Mytilus edulis: one gene and its partners. The protein of the gene in region 3 purifies or fractionates together with the protein of the main gene of each other region. This does not show direct contact. Links are inferred from orthologs where the notes say so. Each region holds a gene or a part of one and is shown on either strand. Other genes may lie near its edges.

Region 1 (7,732 bases), on a different chromosome or scaffold from region 3:
CAGCTGGTTCAGTTGTCTATAATCTACACACATTCTGAGCTTGTTGTCTTTCTTCCTAACCAATACAACATTCGATGACCAAGGCGAATGCGAACGACGAATGATCCCAGCAGTAAGAAGTTGTTGAAGGTGAGTTCTAACTTCGTCGAATAAGGCAGGTGGAATACGCCGGTGTCGTTGTTTGAATGGTGTTTCATCTATCAGTTCTATCTTATGCTGTACGGCGGTGATGTGGCCTATATCAGTATCTGAAGTGCTGAATACATCTCTGAATTGATGAAGTAGTTCTCTGGCTTTACGTAGTTGATCATCAGTAAGTGTATCTGGAAATGTAGATTCATTCCATGCATCTTGTTCGTAGGTGTCTGGTACATCAATGTCGGTGACTGAAACAGGTTGAAGTTCGCAAAGGATGGCATTTGGCGAAACGGTCACTGTTCTGGTAGTTACATTGCTGATGTGTACTGGTATGATGCTGTTGTTTCTATACTGATATGATACTAGTGTTGGAGCTATATCTAAGTCTGATGGTATTGCTGCTCTATCAGTTGACTGTAGGAGTCCACAAACTGGATGGTATGGTAGTTCATGGTCCATGTATCCCTGTAGAACGACATCTTTGTTAGGTGGTATACGGATTGTCTTTCCTTCAGCACTCTTAATAATGGCAAGTCTGTTGCATCTCTTCTGCAGTTCTTTATCTCTAAGAAGCAAACATCTAAACGTAATATACCAAGGTGTATGTAGATCTGCTGTTTGTAAAAAACGTGATCCATATCGTTGCTTTACATCAGTCATTGCTGCTGTCAAAACGTTGGTTCCCAGTAGAAGTGGTACAAGCTGGTTGTAAGAACTGTCTGGAACGACTAACAGTAAGCATTGCTGAGGATCTGCTGATGTAGATGTACCTGGTAATTGTAGATCTGCTGAGATGTAACCAAGGTATGGCATATTCTGACCATCTGCACACTCGATGTTGAGTATCTGGTTGAGTGTCTGGATAGGACTATCAGCAAGGTACTGTCGATGGAATGACTGACTAACTGTACTAACTGTAGAACCAGTATCTAGTAGTGCTGATGCTTGAAGTCCATTGATGACTACTGTGACTTCATTGGGGCTACCAAGTAATCCTTCTGTATCACCTGATGACTGTCGTTGTTGGTACATCTTAGCTTCAGTGTTCATCTGCTGAAAGTTGCAGGCTTTTCTGGTGTGATCCAATCTAACACAGCAGGCAAAGGCATAGTGGCCTGGTTGTCCACATCTGTAGCATATAACAGGTTCTCTGGATGGTTGAGATACATAAGTCGGAGTAGGAGCAGGTTGGTATTCAGCTTCTATCTGGTCCCAGTATGGACGTTGTCTGTTGCGTCTTCTGTGACGGCGACGTTTTCTGCGTGGTGGATAGTACTGTGGATTATAAGTGTCGTAAGTAGTGTAGGGTTGGTCATACATGACGTTGTAACATGGCTCATTCGGTTGTTTATACATGGCTAACGGTGTAGACTAGTGTACCTATAAACATTTAATTCATTCACCCTAATTCAAGTTCAATATTAATGCAAAAATCTAATAAGTGTCAACACCACCACTCTAAATGATCAAATGGAAATTTTTAATCAATATTAAAAAATAATCAACAATGTCTATCTTCAATCTCAAAATCTAGATACTATCTAACTCAGTGAATGTCTAATATATAAAAAAAAATATGATAATAAATTTTAATTCATATCAACTTAAGTACCAAGTCACTAAACAAAGTACATTTATAAAACGATATATATACTGTGTATCTAATACCAACTAGCAATGCTACACATAAAACATAATGTGTGTTATAATTGCTAAGTTCAACTGAGCATTAACCTATACCATGTGGGTTATAGTTCAATGTAAGTACAATACACTACAACTGTATACCGAAAAATAAATTTAAAATATAAAAGTGTATGCTATATACTATGTAGCTATGCTACTGTAATCTACAAAGTATGTTTATCACTATCAGTAATACATGTACACCATCAATGAATGCCTAAATAGTATAAGTGTACATGTCCACTGACAGACTAAGTCCGTATCCAAGTAAGCCTTGGAAAAAAAAAAATAAAAAAAAAAATTTTTTAAATGTATAAATGTTAAAGTATGAAAAGGTCAAAATGTAGGACGTCAAAAAAAAATTAAAGTCCAAAAAGTGGATGCAAAATTTTCAAAAATAAATTCTAAGTGTGTAAATGTTTCAAGTGTATGCTAAGTTTCAATGTATCAAAGTGGTATACAGTATATAATGTAAATAAATATGTCCTACCTTAAACTAGAAAACTATTCCAATAATTACACTGTTCCACAAAAGTATAATTAAATCACAATATTTCACAATGTAGAATAATACAAGTTCAGTTTTCCAAAAGTGAAAAACAAAAAGTCAAGTTACTAAAAGTAACATCCGGTACTATAATGTCATCCGGTAAACTGTAAACAAACGCACGTGGACGATGATCACATGGGTCGGAATGTTAGTAAACATAAGCACGTGGTAAAGTTCATCACATGGTACCATAACGGGAGTAAACAAACACACATGGTCACTGTATACATGGACTCGAGACATCTAATGGTGGTCACTGACATCACATCTGGATCTCCACAAAAACTGGTATGTACCATCAACCCAACGATACGTGGGCGCCATTTGTAGTAGGTGGTTTTCTATGCTAAAGAGTAACACCAACAAGAGCTTAGGGTTCTGATTCTTTATTGTACCAGTATGTAAATACAAGTCTGAAATAGCAATACAACATATATAAATAACAAGCTATTTCATATAACATAAATATAATTCTTTTACGAATATCACAGGCTATAATACAGAAATATAGTAAATAATACCTTTAACTGTTATTAACTAAGTAGCAAGTAAAATGTATTGCAAGTAGAAACTGTTCAATGTTTACATTCTATAAAATATCATCGGGTGTCACGTGTACTTTTACAAACGCTTGACCTTTGACTTTACACTAAATCGGAGAGTAATATGTAATTTACGTGTATCTGTGTATTTGTATTAAATACTGGTTTACCTAACAAACGGTATATAATAAATGTTACATCTACATTTATTAATAATGACTTCATTAAAATATATAATACGTATAATAATTAACTACATAATATCATACAACAATCATAAAGTTGCAAATATAATAATCATAAAGACTTATGATGTCAATATTATCGATTCATTAAAAGCTCCAAATTAACGGGAGGTAATTCATGTTTACAATACAATATAAACAAAGTTAAACTATAAATAAATATACTCTTACCACTTGTGGAGTGAGTTGTACTACTGATAAGGTTAACGGCACATCATGTACACATCACAATCATGTGTTCTACATAATTACATTACATGGAGTCCTGAAACCAAAATACGAACATAAATACTCGGACTCTAATTATAAAAATATACAATGTACAAAATATTCTTTACGCATTCATATTTGTACTTGATAAAAACTATTTACTACAAAACTATAACTTTATATAAATGGAAACACTTTTCCGTCTTTCACTTAATAAGCCGCCATTTATAAAATATAGACTATTCCTGACAATAATCAAATAGTAATGTACGCAAATTAACAATACAATTCTACCGTGGCAAATAAACCGTAGCTTATAAAATCATATACTTCTAGCTTAATAAAATACTATCATGTACATCTCGTGTACTTGTGTTACATACATGCGATATGAGGAGAACGTTACAAAGCAAAATAGAAACTTTACTAAAATATCATTTACGTGAAAAATATAAATAATGTTAATAAAGAAGTAACTTACAGTATTCTATAATAATGTTGTCCAAAATATATAAGGTTTACAAGTAAACTATGTGGTCAAGATAAACAGACATAAATTCAATGGACTGTCATGGCTATCGTCCCGTGGAAATGTACAGGTACAAAACAAAGGAAATTAAACTTGACCGCGAAATATAAACAGCCAATCAGATACAATGATTTAAGTAAATCCCTAATCAATATTCATAAAATAACGTGAATATTACTATACATAAAAATAAGGTTTGCAAGTAATAATTTAAACTGAATATACAATATTCAAAATATGTAATAAAGCTTTTATAATAAATATAGTAATTAAATAGATGATTTTTACAATATATAAAATGATCATAAAAATCACTCTACTACATTCATACAATTGTTTTTTTAAATCGCAGGACAAGCCATTTACGTATACCTGTTACCTTAATTGGAATTATACAGATTTTCCCATTTAAAACGAAACATCTTCACTCTATAGTAAATAAACACTATTCTATAATGCTTTACTATTTGATAAACGAACAGATGAAATGGAAAGTCATTTATCGTGTAATGTATTTAATACATATCTGTTTTACACAAAACCTTGAAATGAGGGAGGGTAGGAGGGGTCCTGATCCCGAATTCCCGGGCTTAAAAATACGAAATCCCGAAATCCCGAGCTTAAAAACACGAAATCCCGAGGTCCCGAAATTCGAAAAAAAAATTCCCGGATCCCGAAAGGGTCAATCCCGAAATCCCGATCTTAAAAACACCCGATCCCGGAGTCCCGATAAAGGTCCTATCCCCCCTCTGAAATATTTTAATTGAATGTGAAATGGGAGATAATAAATTTACCCGCGTTAATTATGACCTTCACCTTATAAACTTCCGCTGTTCGGATACTACCAAATGCGCAAACGCATTGAAGAAATCCAGACTTATACGCATGCGTATTATAAATGGCCGACATATTGCGCCAAGAAGACGGCTACAGGCTAGCGAATTTGAAATGAAGACGAATTTCTGCTAAGGGTTTAAGTTTGCAACATATAACTGAGTAGCAACCACCAGCTGTGGAATTTAGCTTCATAATGAATGTATTTTTATGAAAAACCATAACTCCTTTATATGACAATCTTCAATTTTTCGCATGGCAACCGAAGTTAACTTTTTCCCATTTCTTTGGGACATAATGGAAATAATTGGTTTTTGATGACATAAAGATAACCGTACTGATAATTGTTTAAGTATTCATTCATTATTGTAAAATGGCAGCTGTTGAATACGATCTGGACACATCTGGTGGACTGATGGAGGTTTGTTACTGCTAGAAATTTCATCAGAAATATTACAAAATTAGTTTAAAAGCTGGAAATTCATCATGGCTGCCAGATGCAAACATGGCCGACACTAATCTAATAATTCCATATTATTATTAGTTTTTATCTCCAATTAAACTAAACAATAAGTGACATTGTTTTATATACAGACCTGTTGTCATAAGTTAACTTGAACATGTTAAGGCTGTATACACAAATATTGTACACATGTATGCAAGCACCAAGCAAAATTATATCCTTGTTTCATGGGTTTTCTCTCTATTAAATATGCATTATGATGTCAAATTTCAATTGAAAAAGCATGCATAGAACTAATTCATATGACTCACGAAAACAAATGATCTGACCATACATATAGCCTCTGCATGATGTGTTTAATTTCTGTTTTATTGTTTCATTTTGCTATATATTAAAAGGCAAGTATTCTGCATTTTAAAAGTGACATTTGTAGGGGTACACATCAACTCGTTCTAAAAAAAAATGTGCCATATTCTTAGCAAGCTGAAGTTGTGATTTTTGTCAACCTTTTTGAAACTTTCTTTTAAATATGGAGAGCAATTTGTGTTTATAATCTTGTGTGCATGTCCCTTTCTTTAAATCACATCAGATGTTTTCATGCACGACAACATTTTATACACTTTTTATGGTAACGACTCACTGCATATTTGTGTGCACAGCTTTCCAGTTAGATATGGTTGCCCAAATGCTAGACATTAAATTAAAGTTGTGGGAAAGAAACTTGACCTTTTTTAAGGTTAATAGAAATTGCTAAGATATTATCTCTAGCTTGCAATGTATTATTACTATTTTTATCAGGTTACAAAAAAATGTACAAATGTAACATGTAAAATTGAGAATGGAAATGGGGAATGTGTCAAAGAGACATGTATCTTTTGATATTTTGAAACCAATATCCGAAGGATAAGTTATATTTATCTATATTTTTTATGAACACACTTTTATACCAATACAATTTAAAATGTCAAAAAAAGGGGTGTAACTCTAACTATCCAATTATAAAAAAGAAATATAATAAAGACCTAATAAATTTATTTATTTAGAAATTTTAGGAAATCATTGACTTTGTAGAATGGTCATATACACACATGTATTATTGGAGAGAAAAAAATGTACATGTATCCAGTATTTTCTCTAACTTCTAGTACTTCTTTCTTAAAACTAACACCATGCAAATGAAAATATTCTGATTTTTTTCACATTGAAAACAACATTTTTCCTTGTTTAAGAATTGAATGCCTCTTTATGTAAATTTATTGGGATGTAGCATTGTTGACCTAAGTGGACAAAATGAACATTTTCTCATTTTTACAACCCTATAAAATTATTAATAAGCAGCATTTAATTTTATACTTAAAATTACATAAATTTCCAGGATCATGCATACATGATTTCTATCAACTTTTTCTTTTATTTACCTGTGCACTTTAATTTATTGTGGAAGCTTGTGTCATCAGGCCAGGTTTTTTTTCAATTTGTTGGTTTACAGATTTTTCCCATGTAAAAGTCAGGTTGGTCGGTTGAAAAAAATAGAGAAAAAAATCTTTCAAGAGAAAAATATGCAAAAAAATATCTTTTACCTTTATAACAATATGTTTGGTATGTTATTTTGTAATCATTTCCTAAATTTTAGTTTAATGAAATACTATTGCTCAGCTGTCATAAACATCACATGACTTCATATAATTATTTTCAACAACAATGAACAAGGGGGGGGGGTGGTTAATTAAAATTGTGTCCATGGACAAAGACGAAATTAAATCGTCATTTATTTAACAAGAAAAATAACGTATCCGCGTAGGTCTTAATCAATTTCAGGACACTTAGTGAATATTGAAAATCAGGCACGAAAACTGAAAAAGAAAACATTGCAAAAACGTCGTACAAAAATAAGTTTCAACATTCGTGTCAAGAACACAATAGACTCGTCCACTGGAAAAACGAGCATGGCGGGGATCATCAGTAGTCATGCTTTCCCATTTTTTTTATATCCAATTGGACGAATTTTTTTTTAATCATCTATGAAACAAGAAATATAATTTGTTTTCATTAAAGTACTTTAACGTGACATTTGTTTGGACAAGTCCATTTTCCATTTTTTCTACGAGAAACAAACTTTTTGTGTAATGGGTTTTAAACACAGGTTTCGTTTCACAAAATTATTTGCGTAAACAACATTTTAAGGTCAGTAATTATTGATTTGTCTATTTTTATATACCGTATTTATTCTAATAAACGCCCTGGGGGTGATGACAATTTCCGAAAGGAGGGCGTCAACTAGAGAAACGAATTTCGTACCTTCATTGACCTTTACCTGAATTTTGTTGAAACAGACTATAGTAACATACATGTGTTTCTTATTGTCTCCATAATCTATAAATAGCGTTTATCAGTAATGTGACCTCATCTAATAATTTGTTAAATTTTCGAATGAATTTATTCAATATTACCGTAGTTTAGAAATGCATGCCTGTTTATAAGTTTACGTTGAACTTTTAAAATAGCGTACTGTGTAACTGACAGATCTATTTTTGG
Region 2 (7,656 bases), on a different chromosome or scaffold from region 3:
GTTGATAAAAAAAGGAAACTAGTTTCAGAAGTTACAAGTAAAGTTGACAACTTAAAAGGCAGTTCTTTAAACTGAAAGAACTAAAGTTATTGAAACATTGCCAGTCAACCTTTTACAATGGTAAGTTTAAATTTTCTTGTTCTGTGAAAATCTTGTTTTGTTGAATGTTTTCTATTTAGTATCCCAGAAAATCTATTGTTTTACAGTACGTTCTAAGCTAAGGAGACTAATGGTTTGTCTGACTGAAAAAGAAATTTAAACCTTTCTATTATGTTATCAACGGAAAAATATAAAAAATCCTGTCTGTCTGAATAATGTTTTGTCTGACAAGATTCATTTCTGTTTAAATTAAATAAACTGGGGTCAGTTTTTACATTCTCAGTCATATCTCTACTGAGGTTATTGTAAAGAGAGCATTCCAGAAGAAAGTGCATTTCATTTTCAATAGAATTTGAATTACAATATAAACATCCTCTCATGCTGAGGTAATATTTCATATTTACCACATACATAGATAAATCGTTCATGTCTGCCAGTTTCTATTCTTAAGGTGGTACCCAACACTTTCACTAAAATTAATTTGTCTCGTTTAATTTTAATAAAATTTTGACAAAGTATTTACTTTAACCCTTTAACAAAAATATAAAAATTTCAAAAAATTTTAACCAACCGTTTTGTCAGAAAAATTACACTGGTTATAATTAGCAGTTTGACAAATGTTGTGAATGTGACTTTGTCTTCATGTCCGTAATGTCACAAAACAGTGTTAATGTTGTTTCCCGTATTATTGACGTTGTATGATAGTGACGTGGGAGAGAGAGATGTGTTGCCGGATAGACAAGATGGCTGAATGTTTGTACTGTCAGAGTGTATGCCGTGTATTTTGTATTTTATGTAACGTCTGTATATACATATAGTGTGAATAAATCGTGACTGTTATTTTCTACAAAGATGGTGTTAAGTTATAAATTTATGAACGCTCGGAATTCTACGTTTACAACAACAAACACCAATTTTGATCATTGAGAAGCTTAATATTCCCTTTACAACACAAAGTAATTAAAACGTTCAGCTGACTCTACAGAGTTATCTCCCTGTAGTGTTAGGTACCACCTTAAACAGTGATTGCTGAGTCTGTATTTTGTTAACAGATGTTTTTGACCAAACCTCTTAAGATTACATGTACATATTGATGCCTCAAGTTGAGGCAGGTGTGATATAAAAAAAGCCCTATGATGTTCTCTATAATCGTGATTATACTTGACAGCAAATAACACACAAGTATCTGACAATTCCAGTTTTTTTTGTTGGGTTGATGTTTCTCAATCCTTAGGAATGCTTAGTTTGGAGTTGCATTATTGTATTGACTGTCCAGACCATTTTTGCATTGTCTTTTTTTTTTTTTTTTTTGTGTTCTAATTTGAATTTGGTTGTACCAAGGATTTGTATAGTAAGAAATAGTATACAAATCCTTGGTTGTACCGTTGTTTTTAAACAATAATTTTAAAATTTGGGGTGATTAAAAGAAGAGAATTTTTATTGAAGGAGATTTTTAAACTCCAAAGTAGAAGATGTTGATGATCCAATCAAAATTTGCTATGTGAAATGTGCAATTAAGTAAAATAAATGTAAATGTCAATGAAAACCTAATACATGTAATTTTATGTAGAAAGAAAAGTTGCTAGGCATAGGCGGATCCAGGGGGGGGCTGGGGGGCCCCGGCCCCTCCTTTCGTGGGAAAAATTTGGTTGATTATATAGGGAATCATTGAAGCATGACTGGAGCGGGCCCCCTTAGGAAAAGTTCTGGATCCGCCACTGCTAAGAGTGATTGTTTTTTTTTTATTGTAAGTTGTTTAAAGGTATTGTTATGTGAATAAGTGTTCAGCATGTTGAGATCTGCCATAATATGGAAATTCAAAAGGGACCATCTAACATGTCTTCCCATATGGAGCTAAAAATTTCCTTCAGTTTAAATTATATTCCTTTTATCACATTTAGATAAAACTATCTAGATACATGTACATTTGATAACAAGAAAAGTTAGGTATACAGACAATTGGGATGAGAGCAGATTCCAAGATAATACTCTTGATTATCACCTCTGTACTGATTCTATATGTTGTGGCAGATGATTACAGTCTTTAACTATAAGTGGATAAAATAAATATTTCTTAGATGCATGATTTTTTTATTAGTTGTTAATGGCTTTGAACTTGCTGTCAGATAACTGTAAGTACTCTCAGATATGTTCCTAGTGTCTTTTTGTTGTCGGGATGTACAGGTGTAAATGCTCTTTTGTTTAGACGTTGGAAAGTTCCGGGTGGAAAGAACTAAATAGCCGAAAAAAGTCCAGAGGAACTTATCAACTATAGTTACTTTTTGTTTTTACTCTGGTTTAAAAGTTCCACCAGTTCTGCACAGAAATCTACTTCTGTTTCCAGTCATGTTTGCAGGAGACTTTGAATAAAATGTATATTTATCAGTCTAAGAAAGGAGCTCAATACTAATTCATTTTTAAAAATTGTTTGTTATATAAAAAAATCCTTACAGTAATTGATGACAGTGTTTCTTTGTTTACATTGAATATGACGTCATAACTTAAATAACGTCATAACTCAAATCCCTAACAACAGTACCAAAATCGGAAACGTTACAGTATTTCCGTTTCTCTTTTAAACATGTTTGATTAAAAAAAAAATCATACAGACCGTCCCATTCACAGGTAATGCCTACCTCATATTAGTAGTCTTAGTGTCATGTCGTAAATATGTTTATATTGTTTAAGTTTGATTGCAGGTTTAGGCCTAAATGTTTTAAAGAGTCAACTTTTTCTATAAATCTTTACTTTACTCTACTTTTATACTTTCAATTTCATGTTTTATTTTTTTACTTTGGCTTTGAATTTTCTCTCTCTGAGTCTTTTCCTTTCACAAAGTGACTTGATATGCAATGTCTATGGTTCAGTGCAACAAACTTCAAGCCCCACTTTGATTTGAAAACCATATGACTCTACTTTTAACAGAAAACATGTTTTTTTAAATCTTTCATAGGCAGCCTCAGGCAAGGATTACAGCACAGACAATCTAAAATTTGACCTTAATCTAAAAAAATAATTATCCAATCAAATAAGAGCTTTCAAAGAAATCAACGCAGACTGGTGCATCTTGGGAAGAGACTACTACTTCCTTTTACACGCAATTTGCGGTCGTACGCCACATCGACGATTTTCAAACAAGGATAATCATGGGAATGAGACGTCCAAGAACAACAAAGAATCCTCCGATTCTAAGCCATGAATTTGTGATACAAAACCATGCAGACATTGTCTCCTGCATCGCCATGGTGTTTGTGGTTGGTCTCATGTTTCAGGTGAGATGGCCATATGGTACCGGTCAGGTGCCGGGTACTTTCTTTACTGCCAATACTGGCTTAATTTAACTTATTTGTATTATATAAATATGAAATATAACAGCATGTTTCTTTTCAATTTAAAATTAAGAGAAAGCCGACTATTTCGTCGTAAAACTGATGAAATTTTCGAAGCATCTGTCAGTGTCAAACGAAAATAACATCTGACACTTTCAAAAATTCGATAGCTACATGTATACTATAGTCTATGGATCATACTCAGATAAATTTACACTGCAAAATAAACAATAGCATTTTTTTTTTTTTTTTGTTATTAAATGCTAGTCAGATTTAAGATGTTTAATTATAAAAACATGATTGCCAATATGAAACAATGCCTTTTCAGGCTTTTGTCAACGGTCAACAGGGTGTCAAACTGAAGAAACATTTACTGCTTTTTGTATATAAAAGACTTGTTGGAGTGGTTTATTTAATTAGCATGTCTAGAGAATACTTACATTTATTTCATAATTATAGATAGAGAACCCACCTTTTTTATTACATTATTTCAAAACTAAAAATATTTTTTGCTATGTGAAAACATAGCAGCTGTTTGGCCAATTCAGAAAATGCAGAATTTCATTCAAAATTTTTTTTGAGGTATAAAAAGGCTTAAAGTAGACCACAACAATAAATACATATGGACCTTGAACATAGTTTGAAATAAATCAATATCTGATCATGCTGATTGTAAAAAATCAATCCTTTTCAAAAGTACAAAAATGTACTGTTTTAGTGTTTACAACTGGCCAAAGTAAAAAAAAATACACTTGTTCAATAAGAAATTTGTGTATATATATTTATGCAGAAGTTAGACAAAAATAGACAGCTTTTATTGTGTATAATGAATTTATATATTTTATTACAGGCCACTTCTCCAGTAGCTTCACTGTTTGTTGCTTTACAACACAATGTATCCTCAACAGTTAATGGTGAGTGTAAAACAACTTTACATGTTAATATAAACATCGTTTAAGGGGTACCCGACACTTTGATTTAAATATTAATTAAAATTTATTTGATTTACTATGCCATGAGCATTAACGACAAAAGGGATCACTCTATTCCTCAACTAGGTGATTTTATAAGGACATTCTTATTCAAGGTTCAACATTCCAAATTTGACAGTTACTTGAAATAATTTCATTATTAAGGGGCAGGTCAATTGAAGAATTTCCCTTTGAACACACATTCTTATTTCTGTTCTAGTTTAAATAGGTTAAAACCAAGGGTATTTATTTCATTGTTAAATAGTTTGCTCTTCTTTTTTTCACTCTGCATTCTTTTTAGTCAAAAGTGAAATACTGTTACCCTCGGTCTTCTTTTTCTTTATACTTCAGCATTGAGCAATCAGGTTCACATTTTCAAATAATTTTTTATGTTATGCGTCTTCTGATTGACTGACGTTGTTTTGTTTATCCACTCAAAAACCAAATTTTCTTATGTGACCGTGACGTCATCAACATGTTTTCATGGTTTACTCCTGTTTAAAATGGAATTTAGAATTAAATTATAATAAATGAGTGGAATTTTTTTTCTGTCTTTTCGAAATAACATTAAAAATGGGGTGCACATTTTGAATTAATGTGCTAAGCACCTCATTTTTTATGTTATTTCTTCATAGACAGAAAAAATATTACATTCATTCCTTAAATAAAAATGCCTCTGTCATCACTTCAAATACACCCCAATAAAATTTGAAAAAAAGCATTTCATTCTTAAGTCCAAATGAATGTTAGCAGTTGGAAAAAGTAATAAGATCATGAAATTAAACCTGAGTTTTGTTTTTAAATATTGATGTCTTATTTTTATAGTGTCTGAAGCAGAGGACCTGCCCATAATGTATACTAATGGAGCTAAGGACATCTCCTGTGTGTTTTTCTACACCTTGATCTGCATTGTTATCCATGCTGTGGTCCAAGAGTATGTTCTAGATGTAAGTAGATAGATGTTTGTTCAATATATTTTGTCTTAAAAAAAGACAACAGTTGTATAAGGGTGTTCAAAAGTCATAAATTGATTTAGAGAAAACGAATCTGGATTACAATCTTAAACTCAGGAAAACACATAAACTATAGAAGGAAAACAAAGTAACAACATGAACACTGAAGTGCAACAAAAACATGCCAACATACATAGACTTGGTACAGGACATTTTAAGAAAAAATGTTGTGGTGAACCCAGTTGAACAGCTAGGCAAACTTCTTGCTTTATGACAAAAGTTAAAAATATCGCTAAAATAAAAACATGACATGACATATAAAGCACAAAGAACATTTATCACAGAGAAAAGCATAATTAAATAATATAAAAGTTGACACAACATGCACACCGCAGAACAACAATGAACATGTAATCTTGATTTCAATACAATGTAAAGTACATATATAGTTAACAAATGGTATTCTAAATCTTGGTTAAAAAAGTGGGATGTATGCAATATACATGTATATTTGTATTGTTTCAGAAACTTAACAAGAAGATGCATCTGTCCAAGATAAAGCACAGCAAGTTTAATGAGTCTGGACAATTATTATTTTTCTACTTTGTATCAGCAGCCTGGGGAGCAGATCTGATTGTCCGAGTAAGTGGAAGATTTTAGTGTATTTTTAAATTTATACCATGTAAAGGATTCTGCTAATTGCACATGAACAGATTCCCAATAATTAAATTTTTGTATGTACCAATTTATTGATTCCTGAAAAATTGTATTTGAAGTTCTGTCATTAACCTATTTCACATCTAAGTTCTCTTACATGTTTTGCATTGATGTTATTAAACCTTTCGCCAAAATTCACACAGCTGACAATGTGTCCCAGTTTACTGGGAATCAGAATACTTTTTCCTGCTAAAAAACATTGCAAACACAAGTTATCTTTCTTTGTTTAAAGTCAAATGAAAGTGTAAACATGGCGTCTTCTGTTTGTTGAAAAACGGGTCCAAAATCAGATGACTTTTACAGAAAAAACTGCATACAAATATATAAAATAAGATATCAGAATGCAAGTTTAAAGTTATTTTGATTGTCATACTAATTAACCTATTCACATTTTAAGCATCAATAGAAACCTGGCAATAATAATTTCTGAATTTACAGTACATGTTTGTTTTTACTTAACCTTTCCGTTTAGTTGACACCTAAATATGAATTTATTATGTTTATTTCAGGAGAATTTTCTGAACATCAATTCCTTATGGGAAGGTTATCCACATGCAAACTTAGGGTATGTGTTTTAAAGTCAAAGAAAGCTATTAAAGATAGTATATTATGAAATTATCTAAACCAAGTAGAGAATTTCTTTTCTGTGTACAAGTTCCATGTTATTTTATAGCATATTTCCATTCAATTGTATAAAGAAAAATTACAAGTAATATTAAATGGTGGAATTTTTTTTAAAAGTTTTACGAACATATTGATATTTTAAAATTTTATGTGATACTTGTAGTAAAACCGTCATATTTCAGACATTCAACATATTAATGTGAAGTAAAGCAGACAAGATGTTCTGAATGTACACTCTTGTTTTTATACTGCTCTTATATTCTTTCAGATTTGTGAACAAGTTTTACTTCATCATTCAATTAGCCTACTGGTTACATAGCTTCCCTGAACTCTACTTCCAGAAAACTAAAAAGGTAAAATACATAATTCAGATTTTGACACTCTTTATGCACACTCATGTATAAACCACAGGTTACTGAAATTTAAACTCAACAACACAAATAATGCACCATTTCTTATTTACTGTAGTTCCACAATTTGTTTTTGTTTGAAATTTACAAAACTTAATAGTTATCCACATTTTGCAGAGAAAATAACATGTGAGTAGTGACAATGTAGATTTCATCCACAAAAGTCTGATATTTGTCAATTTCAAAAAGTTTATTTATTAGATGGTTTCATTTCTGAAGTGACAAATTGTATGGATCTTCCTACTTACAAACTTGCTTATATAGCTGTTAAGAGTAAAAAGGCCACTTTGCTCATTGTTGAAGGTTTTACGGTGACCTATAGTTGTTTTAAATGTCTGTGTCATTCTGGTCTCTTGTGGACAGTTGTCTCATTGGCAATTATACCACATCTTCTTTTATACATATTTGGCAATGTTGATTTGACATTTACATATTAGCAATAATGATAGATTTTTCATCCAGTTAGATCACTTTGATGTGAGCATGTTTTATAGATCTCTCTTGATCTCTTGGTATAGATTACTAACTTTACTAGAATTTGAATTTCAGTTAG
Region 3 (7,913 bases):
TCCCTGGAACCCTCCCTGGATCCACCACTGCAAATTTTTACAGATTGAATTCAAAATATTAAGATAATGGCGACTTAAATTTGCCTAAAAGATCCATGTATGCAATAATTTAACAATTGTTTAAACTATCACATGGGTCAAAAGATTGATTGATATTTGGTGTTTTAACCCCACTTTTGGGGTATTTCATGGCGGCCACTTTTTATTGTTGGAGGAAGCCAGGTTTGCCCAGAGAAAACCACTGACCTTTGATGACCTCTTTGATAGGAAAACTGACAATCCTTATCAATTAAGATTGGAGTTGAGCACACCTGCATGAGCGGGGTTTGTACTCACAACCTCAGTGTTGGCTGTCTAGTGATTACAATAGTACAACTTCTTACACCACTTGGCCACAGAGGCCCCCTGGACCATAAGAAAAATCCCATGTTTGTTAACTGAAACCTTCTGATAAAAAGTAGGGCCAGAACCGGTCAGGGAAGGTTGGCAAATTTCTTTTTCTTTATTTGATCTACAAACCCTTATATATAGTATTATCCAGCAACGGAATCAGATCAGGCATTGCCTTAATGTATATTTACAGCTTCAATACCGGCCCTATGTTGAAGTTTTGTTTTTTGGGGGTTTACACAACACTATATTTATCTTGGTGTCAGCCATTTTTTGGGGTTGAAAATTCAAAACATATGTTTCATAACATACTGGGGTCAAAAGTCTTATTTTGATCATGTGATCTCTCCATTCATGAAAACATGGACATCAATGAAAAGATTGATGTTTATAGTGAAGTAACAAGAAGAAAATAGATAAAAAGTATGTCTTACCTTATATAATGTATATAAATCCACAAGTTTCCTATCCACATGAGGTATTTTTAAAGAACAACCCTGCAAAAAAAACAATCTTCTATGATCAATAATAGCATATATTTACAATGTACACTTTAAGTCAGTCCCTTATTTCACACAATTTCTAAAACAATGCAATGTCTGATGAAAAAGGAAATAAAGTAAGATCTGGCACAGTGCTAACATGTTGTGAAAAAAAGGGGGAACCTTCTTTCTTATTTCAAATTGTTGATTAACAAATCCTTCAAAATCAACATTTAAGATTATAATGAATTAAATAATAAGAGAATCATTCTTACCTGTAGCTCCCAGAACTTTGCAAGCTGGTCCAAAAAGTTCAGCTTCATTCGAGAAGTGGCCTGAAAAGGATAAATATAATCATTATTATATAGAATCAATAAAAGAATATAAAATTCACATAAATTAACAATAAATCAAGTTACTGTAAATTTTTCATTTATTTTTTTCATTAAAACAGTTTATAAACGAAAATAAGCAACAAGAAGTATAAGATTATAAAGTGTTGCCCATTTTGAGCCCCAATATACTTACATCAAGTTCATTTAATCTTTGTATTCTGGGAGTGAATGTGAATTTCTCGACATCAACAGCAAAAGGTGGTTGCCAGTCCTAAATGAACGAAAGAATGGACATTAGAATACACCTATTTGATATATTAGAAATATTTAATATTTTTCTTACAAGCTGATAATGGCTACCTTTAGTCTCTGGCTTGGCAGCCATATTGGTTGAAATATTTTATGTAGTTCCTTCTTCATAGGGAATTTTACAGTATATCATATCTAACATTTTTCATCATTTTATTCATAATGAGATGAAATTCAATAAAAAATAATCATTCGCAACCTCTTTTTCTCAACAAAATTATTTTTTGAGTAAAACTGCAAGATCTTGCTTGACCTGCAACTTTTTTATTTTTGTCTCACAAAAATATATGGAAAGTATAAGATGAGTGTTTAGAGCTGACAGCAACCATCTTTTTTCAATTTCAGCCTTTGAAAATGATATTTAGATAAAATCTGTAGTAAGACATGTAGATCAGATGTAAATAAGTCAACAGTCAAAGGTTATGAACAATCTTTAAATTGCATCCAGGATTTTCTTTTCTCATTAATTTATTTCACCTAGTGTTTTTATATGAATGTATAAGAAAAAAAGACAATTAACTTGATAAATAACACTTTAAAATCATTATACTTGTAAATTTCTGCCTTTTTTTTTGCTAAAATCTATATGAAATTATAACCTATAATTAATTAAACGATTAACCCTGGAGTAAAATTGAAATGTGAAAATACAAACTGTTTTTTTTTTATTTATGCTTCATCTAATCATAATATGAAGTAATCTAAAAAGAATTATATTGTAAAACACAGACAAATTTGCTAATTATGTAGTGATTATATGAATTTTTTATACAAAAATACTCTTTAAAAAGTTGAAATCTTAATAATCATAATAAAAGACACAGAGTCATTAAATTACGAGACACTAGTACATCCTTTGCATCATATAAGGCAAAAGGCCTCAAGTAGGAAACAGAAACAAGAGGCCCAGCTTTTCTCTTTGTTTCATAACTTTATTTTCAGAAACTTTTAACATGTTTAAAAAACATTTTGTAAACACATACTTCATGAGTTGTATTTTTTTCATATAGACTATTCATTTTATCAAACATATAACTATAATTTTAAGTTATTATATAGCTGGTGCTAATGTATGACAGATCTGAACAAAAGGCGTCGCCATGTTTGGGAAAATAACTTGCACGTATGATCACGTATTACCATGCAGAATTCATTCAACACTTTCAGGGGAAATACACACAATGGCAATTAGAAATTATTCAACAATAGTGAAAAGTAAATGATATTATAAAGTAATAACAGACCGGTGGTGGTTTAATTTTGCATAATCCAATTTTTTCTGCAATCGGTCTTATTTTGGCGATGTATCCCAACGGATCGGCAAACTCCTCCTCAGTTGGAGTAAATACCGGTGCCTCTGGAGGACGCCTGAAGCTTGGACAAGAATTGTCAACCATGCTGCAAGCCAACGGCAGACACTTCCAATTCAAAAACGACCCAGAGGGTCTAATATAACGCGACCAAAATATAGTAGTAGAATCCCTAAAACACAAAATCCAGTATGTGTGGAGAGGTGCCGAAGAACATACTTATTCTAAATATGGGAAGTACAATGTAGTTCTAATTAAAGTATCTTTTAATGTACCAAAATGAACGAATGTTTTTCCACAACCATAATTTAGCATATAAAATAAAAACTTTAAAGGGACTAGCATAAATTAAACATGTATTAATATTTTTTTCCAAAATGTTTATTTCCAATGTTTTCACACTTGTCAGTGCGTATGAATTTAATCAAACAAATTTTTGATTGGTTAGAGTAGACTGGTTCGCCTGTCTAGATCAATGTGCATATTACATATTTCATATATCAAGACAGGTAGGGTATAACGCCATCTTTTTATTTGAAATCGAGGTTGTTCTAAATTTAAAAATATTGACGTCATCAAAATAGGAAAGCCGGTGTTTTCTCCCGGCATGCATTTGTAAATGACAACAATAAACAATATGGCAGCAGACGATGTGAAAGATTTTAAAGAAAAACTTAAGAATGTCTTGATACATAAAATTGCCTTAACTAAGATCAACTGTACGCGAAACGTTAATTTAACCTACTTGAAACCTTTGCAATTGCAAAGTATTCAAGGTGCAATGAAAAGTGATGCGTTGATCATGCTACCCACTGGCTATGGGAAGTCATTAATTTTTGAAATGCTTGGAAAAATGAATAACACCAAATGCATAATAATCAGCCCCTTAAATGCCATTATTGAAGAGCAGACAAGAAAGCTGGGTAGAAAGGCTGTTAATGTTAATTCAGCGCTAATAAATAGTCTTGAAGGTATTTGTAATATTCATTCATTCCATTCTTGACTGCAGTGTCATTGAGACACTTTTTAATTTTAGGGAAACTCAAGTATGAAACAGATAAACAGAGACACCAAAAATATTCATACAGATATATGTTTGATATTATTGTTATAAATACCAATAGATATAAATAAATGATATTATATTTAAATTGTGTTCCAGTTTTGCAGAATATTAAACATGTTGCAGTACAGAAAAGCTAACTTGGAAAACATCAAACAAGATGTGAACAAACTCACACAAGAAATCAAAGGTCATTACCATAGTTCATCTACTGACGAACTATGGAATACATTTACAGAAAGACTACTTCAATCAGTCAAGAAAAACATCCCCCAGAAAACAATCACAAACAAGAAAAAACTACCCTGGGTTGATAAAACATTAAAAATCATGATAAACAAAGTTAAAAGACTACATAAAAAGAGCAAAAACAGTCCAGAGCAAATGAAAAAATACAAATACTTAAAAAGAACATTACAAAAAGAAATGCGTAATGCCTACTGGAATAACATTGAAAAAATGATATTTGACCTACCAGTAGATGAACCAGATGACAACATCAGGAAAAAACAACCTAAGAACTTGTTTACATACATAAAAAGTATGAAAAATGACAATACAGGCATTGCTGCACTTAGAAAAGATGGTAAACTTACTGACAATACATCTGACAAAACTAACATTCTAAATAGTCAGTTTCAAAAAGCATTTTCCGAAGAAACAACAAGTGAACCCATTCCGGATAAAGGAAAATCGAACTATCCAAAAATGAACAAGATCACCATCTCTAAGAAAGGTGTCATAAAATTACTGGACAAGATCAATCCTAACAAAGCAACTGGTCCAGATCAAATTTGCGGAACAGTACTCAAAGAACTTAGTAGTGACATTTCAACCGCAATCACCTACATCTTCCAAAAATCACTCGACACAGGAAAAATCCCAAAAGATTGGAAACATGCAAATGTCTGTCCTGTTTTTAAAAAAGGTGATAAACACAACGCAATAAATTATAGACCCATATCTCTCACATGCATACTTTGTAAGATCATGGAACACATAATAGCCAGTAGTATGATGGACCACCTAGAAAATAACAATATTTTGTACGACCTTCAACACGGATTTCGAGCAAATAGATCATGCGAAACCCAACTAGTATCCTTCATCCAAGAACTAGCAAAAAATAACAACAGTAACATCCAAACGGACATAATTGTGATGGACTTTGCCAAAGCCTTTGACAAAGTTCCTCACAAAAGACTCCTCTACAAACTAAAACATTATGGCATTGATGACAACACCTTAAAATGGATAGAAGATTTTCTCACATCTCGGACACAAACAGTGATCATTGATGGTGTTCAGTCAGACAAAATAAATGTAACATCTGGTGTTCCCCAAGGAACAGTTTTGGGTCCGATCCTTTTCCTTGTATACATAAACGACTTTAACGAATACATCAAACACAGTACCCTCAGATTATTTGCAGATGATAGCATAATTTATAAAACAATACGAAACAAAGAAGACACACAAAAACTGCAAGAAGATCTCACATCAGCTGCAAAATGGGAGAAGGACTGGCTCATGTCATTCCATCCAGACAAGTGCTCAGTCCTTCAGATAACAACTAAGAAAAACCCATTAAATTTTGACTATACTCTCCACCAACATGTACTTCAAAAAGAAACATCCACAAAATATCTGGGAATAACTATACAAACTGATCTCAAATGGAACAAACATGTAAACAATATCACAGCTGCAGCCACACAAAAGCTGAACTTTATTAAAAGGAATCTAAAAGTCAACTCAAAAACAGTCAAAGAAAAAGCATACATTGCACTAGTAAGACCAAAGCTAGAATACAGCAGCTGCGTCTGGGACCCGCACACCAAATCTCAAACACACCAACTTGAGATGGTCCAGCGCAGAGCAGCAAGGTACACCTGCAACAGATACCATAACACCAGCTCAGTCACTGAAATGCTACAAACTCTAAATTGGGCAACACTTGAGAAAAGGCGAATTAGAACCCGCATCATTTTCCTCTACAAAATTATACATCATCTTGTTGCCATATATCCGACAGACCTACTTACACAATCTGATACAAGAACACGACAACATTCACATATTTACTCTTTCAGACCCATACAAACCACTAAAGACTCATACAAGTATTCATTCTACCCTAGAACCATCTTGCAATGGAACCTTCTCCCAGTAGCTGCAGTTCAATGTACTACTCTTGAAAGCTTCCGAGAACAGATTCCAATATCTGTTCTCAATAAACATCTTAACATTTAAATAAATTCTACAATGTATATAGTTTTAACCAAAATGTATAGTACAAAAACAGAAGAAAAAGAAGTTATAAATGTTGAAATTTTTATTTTTATTTTTGTATTTTTCACTGTAAATAAAATGTATATCCCACGCACGCGCGGCATAGTAAAATCAGTGCCCGGCACGTTATCATCAGTATGTTGATGGAGTGCTGAATTATAAAGAAGAAGAAGAAGAAGAACAAATTATATTTATAAATGTATATTTATTTGTTCTTCAACAGAAAATATGTTGTGTAAGGGAACAACCATTTCATGGTGGGGGGTGAAATAAATAACTAAAAAAGAAGATGTGGTAATTGATTGCCAATGAGACAACTATCCAAAAGAGACCAAAATGACACAGACATTAACAACTATAGGTCACCATACAGCCTTCAACAATGAGCAAAGCCCATACTGCATAGTCACCTATAAAAGGCCCCTATATGACAATGTAAAATTATTCAAAACAAGAAAACTAACGGCCTTACATTATTTGTATAAAAAAATGAATGAAAATCTAATATGTAACACAAACAAACGACAACCACTGAATTACAGGCTCCTGACTTGGGACAGGCAAATACATATATAATGTGTTGAGTTAAACATGTTGGCAGAATCCCCCTCCCCTAACATGGGGCTGCCTTGATGATCACAAAAATAAATGGTTTGTTCTGTGGTAATTTGTAAAAACTAATCTGACTTGCAATGTTTTACTATTGAAAATAAATAACTCAGCAGGTCTTTTAAGCCATTTCATAAATGCTATTCATAGTTTGATACTTTGAGAGGGCACCAGATTATTTATAATATTCATCTTTTTAAAAAAAAAATCTGCAAAAAATTCCCATATCTTTTATTTAAAAAAGAATAAATATTAATTAGATACAATTGAAATGTCTGCATTGAAGGGAAAGGGGGGGGGGGGGGGGGGGGGGGGGGGGGGGGGGTAGGAGGGGTTGTGATCCCCAAATCCTGGACTTAAAAAACATGAAATCCTGAAGTCCAAAATCAAAACAAATCATAATCATGAAATTTTGAAAAAAGAATTCCTTTATCCTGAAAGGGTCAATCCCATAATCATGAGCTTACAAACACTAAACACCTGATCCTGGATTCTTTTTTGCATACCTTTTAGTTTTATATTATATAGCTAATATAAAATTACAACTTTTCAACTACTAAAAATTGTATCCAAGTTTATAGGAGCTACATCAAATTGTAATTGAAATGTGTTATAAAAACTTACTTGACATAGTTATATCAATGATATTCAGCCCCTCTTGACTTATTTGAATTTTTTTTTAATAATTTACAGGTATAAAAGATTAAAATTATGCAAGCTGAAACAGTCACACACACAAAAAAAAAAGGAAAACCCAGTGGCCACATGCTGAACTATGTGAATTACATTTTTGCTTTATCCTAAATATTTTTCTTTAGATGTTGTCCCTAGAAACTAAAGTCTTACACAGATTCTATACATTTTGCTTTGAGTCCAAAATATAAACAATTTTGAAACAGAACACATTCAAGCTTTCAGATTAAGACAGGGTCTGGGAAACACTCAGAAAGCATGATTCCTTCGTTTATTATTTTTAGCCTCGCTACACTTTGCAGAAAAATGTTTCGGCAATACTTTTTAAAATAGGCTAGTGACTTGTATTGATAGTTGCCTCATTGGACCTCTTACTACATCTTATGTATAATAAGTTCAAGTACTGTTGCATGACACATTTAACCTGGCA

The links.
Region 1: the proteins of lysine-specific demethylase 5A-like (region 3) and PHD finger protein 12-like purify together in Homo sapiens (affinity purification with mass spectrometry; 3 studies listed by BioGRID and IntAct, with this or other methods). This does not show direct contact. The link is inferred for Mytilus edulis from reciprocal best matches to the Homo sapiens genes KDM5A and PHF12.
Region 2: the proteins of lysine-specific demethylase 5A-like (region 3) and MYND-type zinc finger-containing chromatin reader ZMYND8-like purify together in Homo sapiens (affinity purification with mass spectrometry; 3 studies listed by BioGRID and IntAct, with this or other methods). This does not show direct contact. The link is inferred for Mytilus edulis from reciprocal best matches to the Homo sapiens genes KDM5A and ZMYND8.

Annotation. Positions count from the first base shown.
Region 1 is NC_092349.1:72,763,841-72,771,572, reverse strand, and holds the start of PHD finger protein 12-like, read left to right. Parts: upstream 1-4,715; 5' UTR 4,716-5,107; coding exon 5,108-5,155; intron 5,156-7,732.
Region 2 is NC_092355.1:68,944,630-68,952,285, reverse strand, and holds the start of MYND-type zinc finger-containing chromatin reader ZMYND8-like, read right to left. Parts: upstream 3,106-7,656; 5' UTR 2,853-3,105; intron 1-2,852. Other genes in the region: translocating chain-associated membrane protein 1-like, read left to right, coding at 3,246-3,371, 4,279-4,342, 5,225-5,346, 5,878-5,994, 6,579-6,634, 6,962-7,046. UniProt on the Homo sapiens protein: Chromatin reader that recognizes dual histone modifications such as histone H3.1 dimethylated at 'Lys-36' and histone H4 acetylated at 'Lys-16' (H3.1K36me2-H4K16ac) and histone H3 methylated at 'Lys-4' and histone H4 acetylated at 'Lys-14' (H3K4me1-H3K14ac).
Region 3 is NC_092344.1:46,177,256-46,185,168, reverse strand, and holds the start of lysine-specific demethylase 5A-like, read right to left. Parts: upstream 3,059-7,913; 5' UTR 2,914-3,058; coding exon 2,761-2,913; intron 1,479-2,760; coding exon 1,401-1,478; intron 1,208-1,400; coding exon 1,148-1,207; intron 888-1,147; coding exon 825-887; intron 1-824. UniProt on the Homo sapiens protein: Histone demethylase that specifically demethylates 'Lys-4' of histone H3, thereby playing a central role in histone code. Does not demethylate histone H3 'Lys-9', H3 'Lys-27', H3 'Lys-36', H3 'Lys-79' or H4 'Lys-20'.